Linked DNA regions of Saccharomyces cerevisiae S288C. The protein of the gene in region 1 binds, or shares a complex with, the protein of each later gene. Each region holds a gene or a part of one and is shown on either strand. Other genes may lie near its edges. A codon is read from its position in the direction of its gene.

Evidence for each region.
Region 2: the proteins of COB (region 1) and QCR7 are in contact, whole or in part, in a cryo-EM structure (PDB 6T15), measured with the Saccharomyces cerevisiae proteins. Residues at the interface, in NP_009315.1 of Saccharomyces cerevisiae: Ser24 (codon at 6,137), Ser25 (codon at 6,134), Asn27 (codon at 6,128), Arg107 (codon at 5,888), Ser108 (codon at 5,885), Pro109 (codon at 5,882), Asn208 (codon at 1,790), Pro209 (codon at 1,787), Leu210 (codon at 1,784), Ile212 (codon at 1,778), Thr213 (codon at 1,775), Gly214 (codon at 1,772), Asn215 (codon at 1,769), Leu216 (codon at 1,766), Asp217 (codon at 1,763), Asp309, Arg310, Ser311, Val312, Val313, Arg314, Phe318, Val320, Thr372, Glu374, Asn375, Val376, Leu377, Phe378, Tyr379; in NP_010818.1 of Saccharomyces cerevisiae: Pro2 (codon at 1,771), Gln3 (codon at 1,774), Phe5 (codon at 1,780), Ile8 (codon at 1,789), Ala9 (codon at 1,792), Ile11 (codon at 1,798), Gly12 (codon at 1,801), Asp13 (codon at 1,804), Ile15 (codon at 1,810), Leu16 (codon at 1,813), Cys25 (codon at 1,840), Val26 (codon at 1,843), Val28 (codon at 1,849), Ala29 (codon at 1,852), Asn30 (codon at 1,855), Phe32 (codon at 1,861), Ile33 (codon at 1,864), Leu35 (codon at 1,870), Ala36 (codon at 1,873), Gly37 (codon at 1,876), Tyr38 (codon at 1,879), Leu41 (codon at 1,888), Leu43 (codon at 1,894), Phe45 (codon at 1,900), Asp46 (codon at 1,903), Asp47 (codon at 1,906), Leu48 (codon at 1,909), Ile49 (codon at 1,912), Ala50 (codon at 1,915), Glu51 (codon at 1,918).

What each region holds. Positions count from the first base shown.
Region 1 is NC_001224.1:34,456-42,745, reverse strand, and holds the start of COB (cytochrome b), read right to left. Parts: upstream 6,207-8,290; coding exon 5,792-6,206; intron 5,024-5,791; coding exon 5,010-5,023; coding exon of another isoform or gene 4,167-5,009; intron 3,606-4,166; coding exon 3,529-3,605; coding exon of another isoform or gene 2,481-3,528; intron 1,906-2,480; coding exon 1,656-1,905; coding exon of another isoform or gene 495-1,655; intron 239-494; coding exon 188-238; intron 1-187. Other genes in the region: cytochrome b mRNA maturase bI2, read right to left, coding at 4,167-5,023, 5,792-6,206; cytochrome b mRNA maturase bI3, read right to left, coding at 2,481-3,605, 5,010-5,023, 5,792-6,206; intron-encoded RNA maturase bI4, read right to left, coding at 495-1,905, 3,529-3,605, 5,010-5,023, 5,792-6,206. UniProt on the Saccharomyces cerevisiae protein: Component of the ubiquinol-cytochrome c oxidoreductase, a multisubunit transmembrane complex that is part of the mitochondrial electron transport chain which drives oxidative phosphorylation.
Region 2 is NC_001136.10:1,495,592-1,498,315, reverse strand, and holds QCR7 (ubiquinol--cytochrome-c reductase subunit 7), read left to right. Parts: upstream 1-1,767; coding exon 1,768-2,151; downstream 2,152-2,724. Other genes in the region: CAB1 (pantothenate kinase), read right to left, coding at 1-84; APA2 (bifunctional AP-4-A phosphorylase/ADP sulfurylase), read left to right, coding at 548-1,525; HLR1 (Hlr1p), read right to left, coding at 2,459-2,724. UniProt on the Saccharomyces cerevisiae protein: Component of the ubiquinol-cytochrome c oxidoreductase, a multisubunit transmembrane complex that is part of the mitochondrial electron transport chain which drives oxidative phosphorylation.

The DNA.
Region 1 (8,290 bases):
TAATTTATTTATTATAATTTTTCATATATTTAATATAATATATTAAATATAAATTATAAAGGAATATATATAAATAACCCCGAAAGGAGAAATAAATAATATATTTTTATTAATAATTATTATTTATTTTTTTTATATAAAATAAATAAGATTAAATAATAATAATTTTATTAATATTTTTAATATCAATAGATGCTGGTGTTACTAAAGGATTACCAGGAATATAGTTATCAGGATGCTTTTATAATAAATATAAAATGGACTATATCTTCATAAAAATTTATATTACACTATCTTATTTCATAAACTATTATTATTTCTTCAATCATGTTTAATGATCAGAATTTTATTTAATAAGATTGTAAAAATATAATCTACCGATTCATAATAATTTATATTATCTTTAACAATAATTTACAAAGATGTTATATTATTATAAGGAATCTTTAAATATTTTATAAATTAGATAATATAATAATGAATACGGAGAAAATTTAATTATTATTTCATTTTTCATTAAATTTTAATCAAGCTTTATATAAAGCAGTATTATGAGGTGCTTTAAAAGCTAATAAATCATATAAATAATAAAATTTATCAATTAAAAATAAACGTTTACCTTTATTAGATTTAGAAGGACAACTTTTATTATAAAGATAAAAAATATTATGTAATTCTTTATTATTAATAGATCATTTAAAATAACCATTTTTAGCTTTATCAAAATAAATATTACCACCAAATACTTCTCTATAGTATTCAACATCATGTAAATATTTATTTGTAACGCTAATAGTTAATTGAGGTCTAATTTTTAATTTACCGGAATAATAATAATTAATAGTACCATCAGCATCAAAGAACCCTATAAATCAAGCATTATCTTTAGTTAATTTAATAGGTTCTTTAAAATCGATATTTAATAAAATACATACTTTATTAAATTGTACTAATCTTTTACTATTACGAATATTACCATTAACGGCATTAATTAATTTAATTATACCTTCTTTATTTTGTAATCTATATCTAATAGCCTTAACACCTGATCTTAATTTTACAGAACCACCAAATTTATCTTGGATTTGTCTTAACATTTTTTCATCTTTTAATTCTACAAGAATTTCACAAGATGCATATTTATTTTTAGTAATACAAAAATAACCATCTCCGTCAATTAAACCGGCCAATCATTGGTTAAATCTAATATTACTATCTTTATAAATACTATAATGTCTTTTAAGAATAATTTGATTTATTTTTTTTATATTAAAAATATTTAATAAATAATTAAATTTATTTTTTAGTGTGCGTGTAGTCTCTGAAGTATCTACTAATAAATTCTTTTTATTACTCGTTAAGTGAGTATTAGAAGAATTTATATTGGTTACCTGCTGATTATCTTCTTTATAATAATATTTTACTCTATTGGGATTAAATAAATCACTTACAATATTTATTTTATTATATTGCTTTGTTCAATTAAATTTTAATACGAAATTATTTAATTGTTTTGTATTTAAAATATTTTGAATAATAAAATAATATAGAGTTTTATTATAAATTTTTCATTGATATTTAATAAATAAAGATTTCCAGCATACAGCACATAAAATATTAATTACATATGTAATTAATAATAAGGCCATATTTTGACCTAAAGTATTAGGTGAATAGAATACAAATAATGCTAAAATTAACATAAATAAGAAAACAGTTACTAAATCTTTAAAAATAAAGTATGAATGCATTGGAATTCTATCTAAATTACCTGTAATACCTAATGGATTAGATGAACCATGAATATGTAATGCCATTAAATGCATAATAACCATTGCAGCAATGATAAAAGGTACTAAATAATGTAACGCAAAGAATCTCTGGATTAGAGGGTTAGATACTGAGCTTTTAATGTTTAAATAGTTACATATTTGAAAACTATTATCAATATATCACTATATTGTTCGGACTATATCTTAATCCTATTTATGTATATATATAATTATATATAAATATTTATAAATGATTATATATTAATCATAATATTTATTTATAAAAAAAAAAGATAAATATTACTTCTAAAGTTTTTATTTCTTATTTATTAATCATAAATTATAATTAATAAAATTATACTTTTTAATTTATAGTTTCGATATCCTAAAATAGAAATAAAAATACCATAAAATGATAAGATTTTAATTATTAATAAAAATTAATAATGAAGGAGAAAATAAATATAATAAAATAATAAATAGTTCAAAGGAATTATTTATTGATAATAATATATTTAATATATAATTAAACTCCTTCGGGGTTCGGTCCCCCTCCCGTTAGAATAGGGAGGGGTCCCTCACTCCTCCGGGGTCCGCCCCGCGGGGCGGGCCGGACTATATTTATAATAAATAATTATATATAAATTATATTTTGTTTATATAATTATATAATATATAAATATATTATTATTATATTTTTATATAAGATTAATATTTAGGAGGAATTTTAAAATAATTATTATATTTAAGAATAAGACGTAAATCTTTTAAGAATAATAAATATTGTAATTTTTTATAACCTAATAATTTAATAGGGTTATTATTAATAAATATTACAACATTTTTAATACCATTAATACTTTTAAGTGTTATTCTTGAATTATTAAATTTATCTGTATAAATATTTTGAGTAATTTTTAAATATGATTTAATAGCTAATATAACTTCTATACTATTATTTTGAGATACTTCAAAACTAGCAAGTTTTATTTTTTTATTTATAGGTTTATAAATACTAAAACAACTTTCAGCTTCAAAAAAACCAATTAATCATGAAGAAAAATAATTTTTATTTAAAATATCTTCAAGAGTATTAAATGGTTTAATAGGACGTAAATAATAAGATAAATCATTATAATATTTAATATCTTTTAATAAATTATCTTTAAAATATAAATAATCATAATGTTTATTAGTTAATATAGGATATTTATCAAAAATAGGAATAATAATATTCTTTAAATGATTTTTATTTCTTACATTAAATTTACATATTTCTTTAATAGTACCATCTTTTATTTTTAATTTTTTAATTGTTACTTTACCAATACCTAAAATATTTTTAATTTTATATAATAATTGAATATCTCTAATATGTATTTCAATACCTAATTCATATAATAAATATTTACCTTTTTTTGAAATAGTAATTCAACCATCTCCTTCAAATAAACCACCAATATATGCATAAATAGGATTATCTGTGTTTAATTTATGATTTTTATCATAAATAATAGTATTATTTATATAATAACTATAAAGTCTCTGAATAATTAATTTTATATATATATATATATTAATTACTGCTAATTTTCTTCTTATAATAAATATTTTAACTATATTATTTTTATTTCAAATTATATTATTATAAATAATTAATTGAATAATATAGTAATTTATTATTCAAATGAAGATATTTCAGCATAAAACAGATTTATTTAATATTATATTACTATAATATGGATCCTCTATATTAAACCCACCTCATAATCAAGATACAATATCGTTACCTACAAATGGAATTGCTGAGAATAAATTAGTAATAACTAGTGCCAAGAAAATAATATTATTTATAAATTATTATTATTTTTTAATAATAATAATCTCAATATTTATTGATTTATTAATATAAATAATACCCTGTATTTAATAATATCTACCCTTTTTATAATTCCATTTAATCACTATTTTCTCTTATGAATAAATATTTATACCTAATAATACCATAATATAAATATTATATATAAATGTTATATATAAATGTTATATATAAATGTTATGATGGGGTTATTATTATAAAAATATTAATCATAATAATTATAATTCATTATTTATATATTAATTAGGTAAATGGAATAATAACAGTAGTTATATATATAATATATATATATAGATTATTAAACCTTGTGTTATAATAATAATATTATAAATTTTCTTCGAATAAACATTAAATATTATTATTTTTTTTATAATAATACCTATTATTGGTGTATTCTGTTGGGATCATATAATTATATAACCCACTGTCTTGTTACTTAATAATATAATTTTGACATGTTTTCAATAATATCGCATTATAATAATATAATAATTAATATAATACTATATATTTTATTATAAATAATTACCTAATTTATATTTTATACTAGGAATAATATAAGGAGATACAATTTTAGTTAAAATAGGTATAGATTCTTTTCATACATAAATAACAAATTGTGTATTTTCTTTATTGCCTTTAAGAATAGTAGATTTAATATTATATTTATTATGTAATAAATAAAGTAAATATTGAACATCTTTATAACTAAAACAATTAGTTGTGAATTTTAAACCTTTACCTAATTTACATCCATCATCTATAATTCAAATAGCTAAAGCTAAAGGAGTTAAATAATTGTCTAAAGATTTAGGAATAACTTTAATATTACCTTTTCCAGATATATTTTTAATATACCATTCTGAATAAATCATATTAAATGAATCATAAGTTCATGTATTAAATTTTAAATATTGTCTAATTTTACCTTTTTTACCTAATCTAGTTTTAATTAAAGGTAAATTAGTATTACAATAACCTAAATTAGCTAATAAACTATGTAAATAATATAAATAATTAATATTACAATATTCTTGTTGAAATACAATTCTTGTTCCTTTACCACCTTTTCTTTTTTCAGCATGACCATCTCCTAATATTGAACCATAAATAATTGATAAAATGTTTATATTTAATGGACCAATATTATTATTTATATCTTTCTTATTTGTTATATTTAAATTAATTATATATTTATTTTTATTAATATAATCTATACTCTTAATTAATATAAGATATTCTTTAGTTTTTATTATTTGTCTTATTATAATCGTATAAAAAATATAAATTAATAATATTAACATTATTATATAAATTAGTTTTATTATATTAAATATATTTGAGGCGATATTTATATTACCTCAATGTGACAATTGTGATAGGTAGATCTTTACAAATTTTCCCCCACTCAGAACTGTACGTACTACTTTCATAGTATACAGCTCAAACAATTTATATACTATATAAATCATCCTATATTGAAGTTAGCATGCTTTCACATTAATCATTTATTCGTTATTATTATTAATTAATTAATTAATTAATTAATAATAATATTAACCATTATTAATATATTTTTATTAAAATATATAAATAATTTGATCTATATTATACATTACATATAATCTTTAGCTTTTTCAATAGTCTTTTACCCACTTATCTATATTATAATTTCTATTATTATTTATTTAATAATATTATATATAACTACCATATAATATTTATATTAATATTATATGGAAATAATTGGGCTTACCAAGTTTATATTATTATACTTTCAATAATTCACTTAGGATTCTAATTTTATACCGATGAGTATTAACGTATATATATGTATTCTAGACAGAATTGAATATCTTACTTCTCATATAATTATTTTTATTTATTATTATTTATTAATTAATAATAGAAAAAAATATTGTTTATGTTACGATATTTTATAATATTAGATTGACTTACGCTATCCATATGAATCTTACCTTAATAATTAATAATAATTATTATTATTAGAGTTTCATACAAAATTATTACTAATAATGCATGTCTAATTAGGTATATGTTATATATAAACATAATCATTTCATTAAAATAATTTATTTAATGGTATGATATTATAATAATATACTTATACTTGTCTCACTCTGTCCATAAACACAACAATAACCTAAAAAAGCTGTAGCAATAGTTAAAATGAAAATAATAACACCTACATTTCATAATAGTACTCTTGGTGATCTATATGAACCATAATATAAACCTTTAGCCATATGCATAAACATTACCATAAAAAAGAATGATGCACCATTTGCATGTAAATATCTTAAAATATAACCATTATGCACATCTCTTATAATATGTTCAACAGATGAAAAAGCTAATTCAATATTAGATGAATAATGCATAGCCATAAAAATACCTGTTACAATTTGAATAACTAAACATAAACCTAATAATGAACCCATATTTCATCAATAATTAATTGATGATGGTTGTGGTGAATCAATAATATAACTATTCACTAAACTTAAATACACATTTGATTTTCTAAATGCCATATTATTATTATTTATTTATAAAATATTAATAATATTATTTATTACTAATATTTTATATATATTAATTAATAAAAAATATATAAATATATATTATTAATTAATACTTATTATATATATATATATTTATAATTATATATATAATTATATTATAATATTAAAAACTATTTTTTTATTATATATACATATTTTATTATATATAAATTATAATTATTAAAAAAAAAAGATATTTCTCATTTTTTTTTCATTAATATAATCCATTAAAAAAAAAAGTTAATAGATTTTATTAATATTATTATTATTATTTATTAAATATAAACCTCGCGGGCGCCAATCCGGTCAACTACTGGGTTGGTCATTGGTCCCGTGGATAATATTAATTATATTATATCATTATTAATTTTTTTAATAAAAAGTTAATAATATAATATAATATTTAAAAATATTTATTTAATAATAAATAAATAAATAAATAAATAAATAAATAAATAAATAAATAATATTGACGATTATATTAATATTAATGATATCATTATTATTTAATAATAATTAATATTATGAAAGATTTTTATATTAATATTATATAAATATAATATTAATAATTTTTATATTATTTATTAATATTGTTATTATTATTATTATATTAACAATAATTTATTGTTAATATGTTATTTATATTATTATTAATTTATATTCTCCTTTCGGGGTTCCGGCTCCCGTGACCGGGCCCCGGAACTATAAAAAAAAATAAAATAAATTATATTATTATATATTATATTAAAAAAAAAAATTAAATATATAATAATTATAGAATTAATTAATAACAATTATTATTATTATTATTATACATAAATATTATTTATATAATTTATTATAATATTTATTTAAAAATATTATAATGAAAAATATATTATATATTTTATTATAGTATAATAACAATCGGTATTTATTATTATGAATATATTATTTGTATTAAAAAAAAATATATATATATATATAATTGTATTATATAAAATGTATATTATTAATAATTATTAATTAATATAAAGAATATGTTTAATTATATATACTTTTTTTACAAATATTTATTATTATGAATAACCTTAATCGGAATCGAACCGATATTATCAACATGAAGAGGTGATGTCGTAACCATTAGACGATAAGGTCTATATTTATTAATAATATATATATATATAATTATTATTATTATTAATAAATTATAAAAATAAAATTATTATTATTATTATTAAGTTTATTATTACTATTTATTAACCTAATTAAAATTAAATTAAATAAAATAAAATAAAATAAAATAAAATAAAATAAAATAAAATAAAATAAAATAAAATAAAACTTCTTCTTTAAATAAAAAAGGGGTTCGGTTCCCACGGGGTCCCGCACTCCTTCTTAAATAGGGGTTCGGTCCCCCAAAGGGATCTATCACTCCTTCCTAAAAATAATTAAATATTTTTAATATATATATATATATACATATATATATTAATTTTATTAATTCATTTAAAATTTATATTTATTAATATAATTTATATATTTATCTTATTCCTCCTTTCGGGGTTCCGGCTCCCGTGGCCGGGCCCCGGAACTATTAATATATAAATTGAATTATAATTATTTTATATTATTTTTATATATTACTTATATAATATTTCTTATAATTATATTAAGATTATATATATAAATAGGTTATTATATATTATTATATATATATACTTATTAATTAAATATATTTATATTTTATATTAATGAAGTAAATATTTTATTTAATATATATATATATATATAAATTTATTTATTATAAATTATATTCTTTTTATATTTATATTTATTATTAATTAATTAATTAATTAATTAATTAATTAATTAATTAATTAAATTATTATAATTGTTATTATAAATTATAATTATTATTATTATTTTATTTTTAATAAAATTATTATAATATTAAAAAAGGGAGATAAATAATATTTATATAATCTCCTTTTGGGATTCCGGTCTTTGGCCTGGTATCCAAAACTTATATATTATATTAATCCCCAAATAAGATATTAATATATATAAACAAT
Region 2 (2,724 bases), on another chromosome or scaffold:
AGTGCCTCCTATATCAATAGCAAGGTTGAAAGTATTGTCGCCATAATCGCAATTGTAAGATATCTCTTGAGTAATTCGCGGCATTGCGATTCTTTTCGCATGCACTCAATTGGAACTATAAATTTCTTTATTCTGGTAGTTTTTTAGTTTTAATGATCAATCTGTTCAGAAACATAAGTTCTTTTTACTCATCGTTATGTTGGTGAAATAAAATTTCGGCCGATATTGGGGGAACTGCGCTAGTCGTTTAACGTCATGTAAGATTCCTAAGTGGAACAGTCAGAAGTAAAAAAAAAAAAATCGGTCCCGGCAATTACAAACTAAAGGAGCTCAATGCGTAGATCGCGGATAGTTCTCCGCATTTGAGTGAAACTTTTTGAGATACTGTCGTAAATACGCAATCATGAACGACCATATGAATAATACTCGATCATACCAACGTCACGTGTAAAGCTTTTGCCTGTTTCGAAAATGTGTTGAACTATTGAAATATAATAAAATTAAAAGGCAACCGAGCCCCTGGGTCAGAGAAAATAGGAAGACAAAGATGATTGAAGAGAATTTGAAACAGAAAATCCACGATAAGTTCGTTGCAGCCAAAAAGAATGGGCATCTGAAAGTAACGCATGCAGAATCCAAGAAGTTGAAAGATCCTCAAACGACGACACAATATTGGGTGACATTTGCTCCATCTTTGGCACTTAAGCCAGACGCTAACAAGAATAGCGATTCAAAGGCGGAGGACCCGTTCGCCAATCCCGACGAAGAACTAGTGGTGACTGAAGATCTAAATGGTGACGGAGAATATAAGCTGCTACTCAACAAATTTCCTGTGGTCCCTGAACATAGTCTCCTAGTGACAAGCGAGTTTAAAGACCAGAGATCTGCTTTGACGCCAAGTGACTTGATGACTGCTTATAATGTGCTCTGTTCTCTCCAAGGAGACAAGGACGATGATGTCACTTGTGAAAGGTATCTGGTCTTTTATAATTGTGGACCTCATAGCGGTTCCTCACAAGATCACAAACACTTGCAGATCATGCAAATGCCTGAAAAATTTATACCTTTTCAGGACGTATTGTGCAACGGAAAGGATCATTTCTTGCCCACCTTCAACGCAGAGCCATTACAAGATGATAAGGTTTCCTTTGCTCATTTCGTCTTGCCGCTGCCGGAATCGTCTGATCAAGTGGACGAAGATCTTCTTGCTATGTGTTACGTATCTTTGATGCAGAGAGCACTTACATTTTTCCAAGATTGGACCAATGAGTCTCCGGAGTTGACCAAGTCATACAATGTGCTACTGACCAAGAAATGGATCTGTGTAGTTCCAAGATCGCATGCCAAGAGTGGACCGCCATTGATGTTAAACATTAACTCCACGGGGTACTGTGGTATGATCCTCGTTAAAGACAGAGAAAAACTAGAGAACCTCACTGAAGATCCTCATCTTGTGGACAAGTCGTTACTGCAATGCGGTTTCCCCAACACAGCAGGCCAAAAACCAACAGAGTATCACTATTAAGGTCTATTAGCCATATGTACATTGTCTATAGATGTGTAACTGCGCTGTGATCTTGTTTTGACCAATCAGGAGCGACGCGCTTTTTATCGGGTCACCCCGGCGGGGGGCCTGACAATTTACTTTCATAGAGCAGTAATAAAAGGGAAGAGATGTAAAAGCTTGGAAAAATAGCAGTAAAGGTTGTTGTTGGACAATTTATCAGAATATTAGTAACTGTAATTAAACGTTCCAGAAAGAACAAAATGCCACAGTCTTTTACGTCTATTGCGAGAATTGGTGACTATATTTTGAAGTCACCCGTCCTCTCCAAGTTATGTGTTCCAGTTGCCAATCAGTTCATTAACCTCGCAGGTTACAAGAAGTTAGGGCTCAAATTTGACGACTTAATTGCAGAGGAAAATCCCATCATGCAGACCGCTTTAAGAAGACTCCCTGAAGATGAATCTTATGCCAGAGCATATAGAATAATCAGGGCTCATCAAACCGAGTTGACTCATCATTTACTGCCAAGAAACGAATGGATCAAAGCCCAAGAGGATGTTCCTTACCTGTTGCCATACATATTAGAAGCTGAAGCTGCAGCTAAGGAGAAGGACGAGTTAGACAACATAGAGGTCTCCAAATGAAAAGAAGAATAAAAAAATCACCACGAACACACAACCCGAAAAAAAAAAGGCATTAAATATTCATTTGAAAGAAGGGACAGAGACTAAATCATATCCTTTATTATCTCTCTATATATATATAAGCGTTTGCTTGAAACGTTTACTTCATATTATTTATTTATCTATAGTCTGAACTTAAAATTTTATTATGAAATTCGTATATTGTAATGTCTAGTGTTATAAATCGGGTATCTATTAGTATTTATTTTTTCTATAATTATGCAGGTGATGGGGTATCGAGTGGTCTATATATCTTAAATTTATTCTACTATTTCCTAGTGCAGAATAACTTGGCGAAAATTTTGAACTTTCTATTCTTCTTAAAAGATTTTTCTTCATACTGAGTTGAACTGTGCTTACTATCCTTGTTAATGGGAGCAGATTTTTGTTTCGTCGGCAAAATGACACTTTTATCAGATCCACTAGTTTCGTTGTATACGTGGAGGGGTTCTCCTCGTAGTATTTCTTCCGGAATACTCTCTTCTTCTTCGTCGTCTGTTTGTTTCTCAGAGTCAAGAATAGAAGAAGACAATG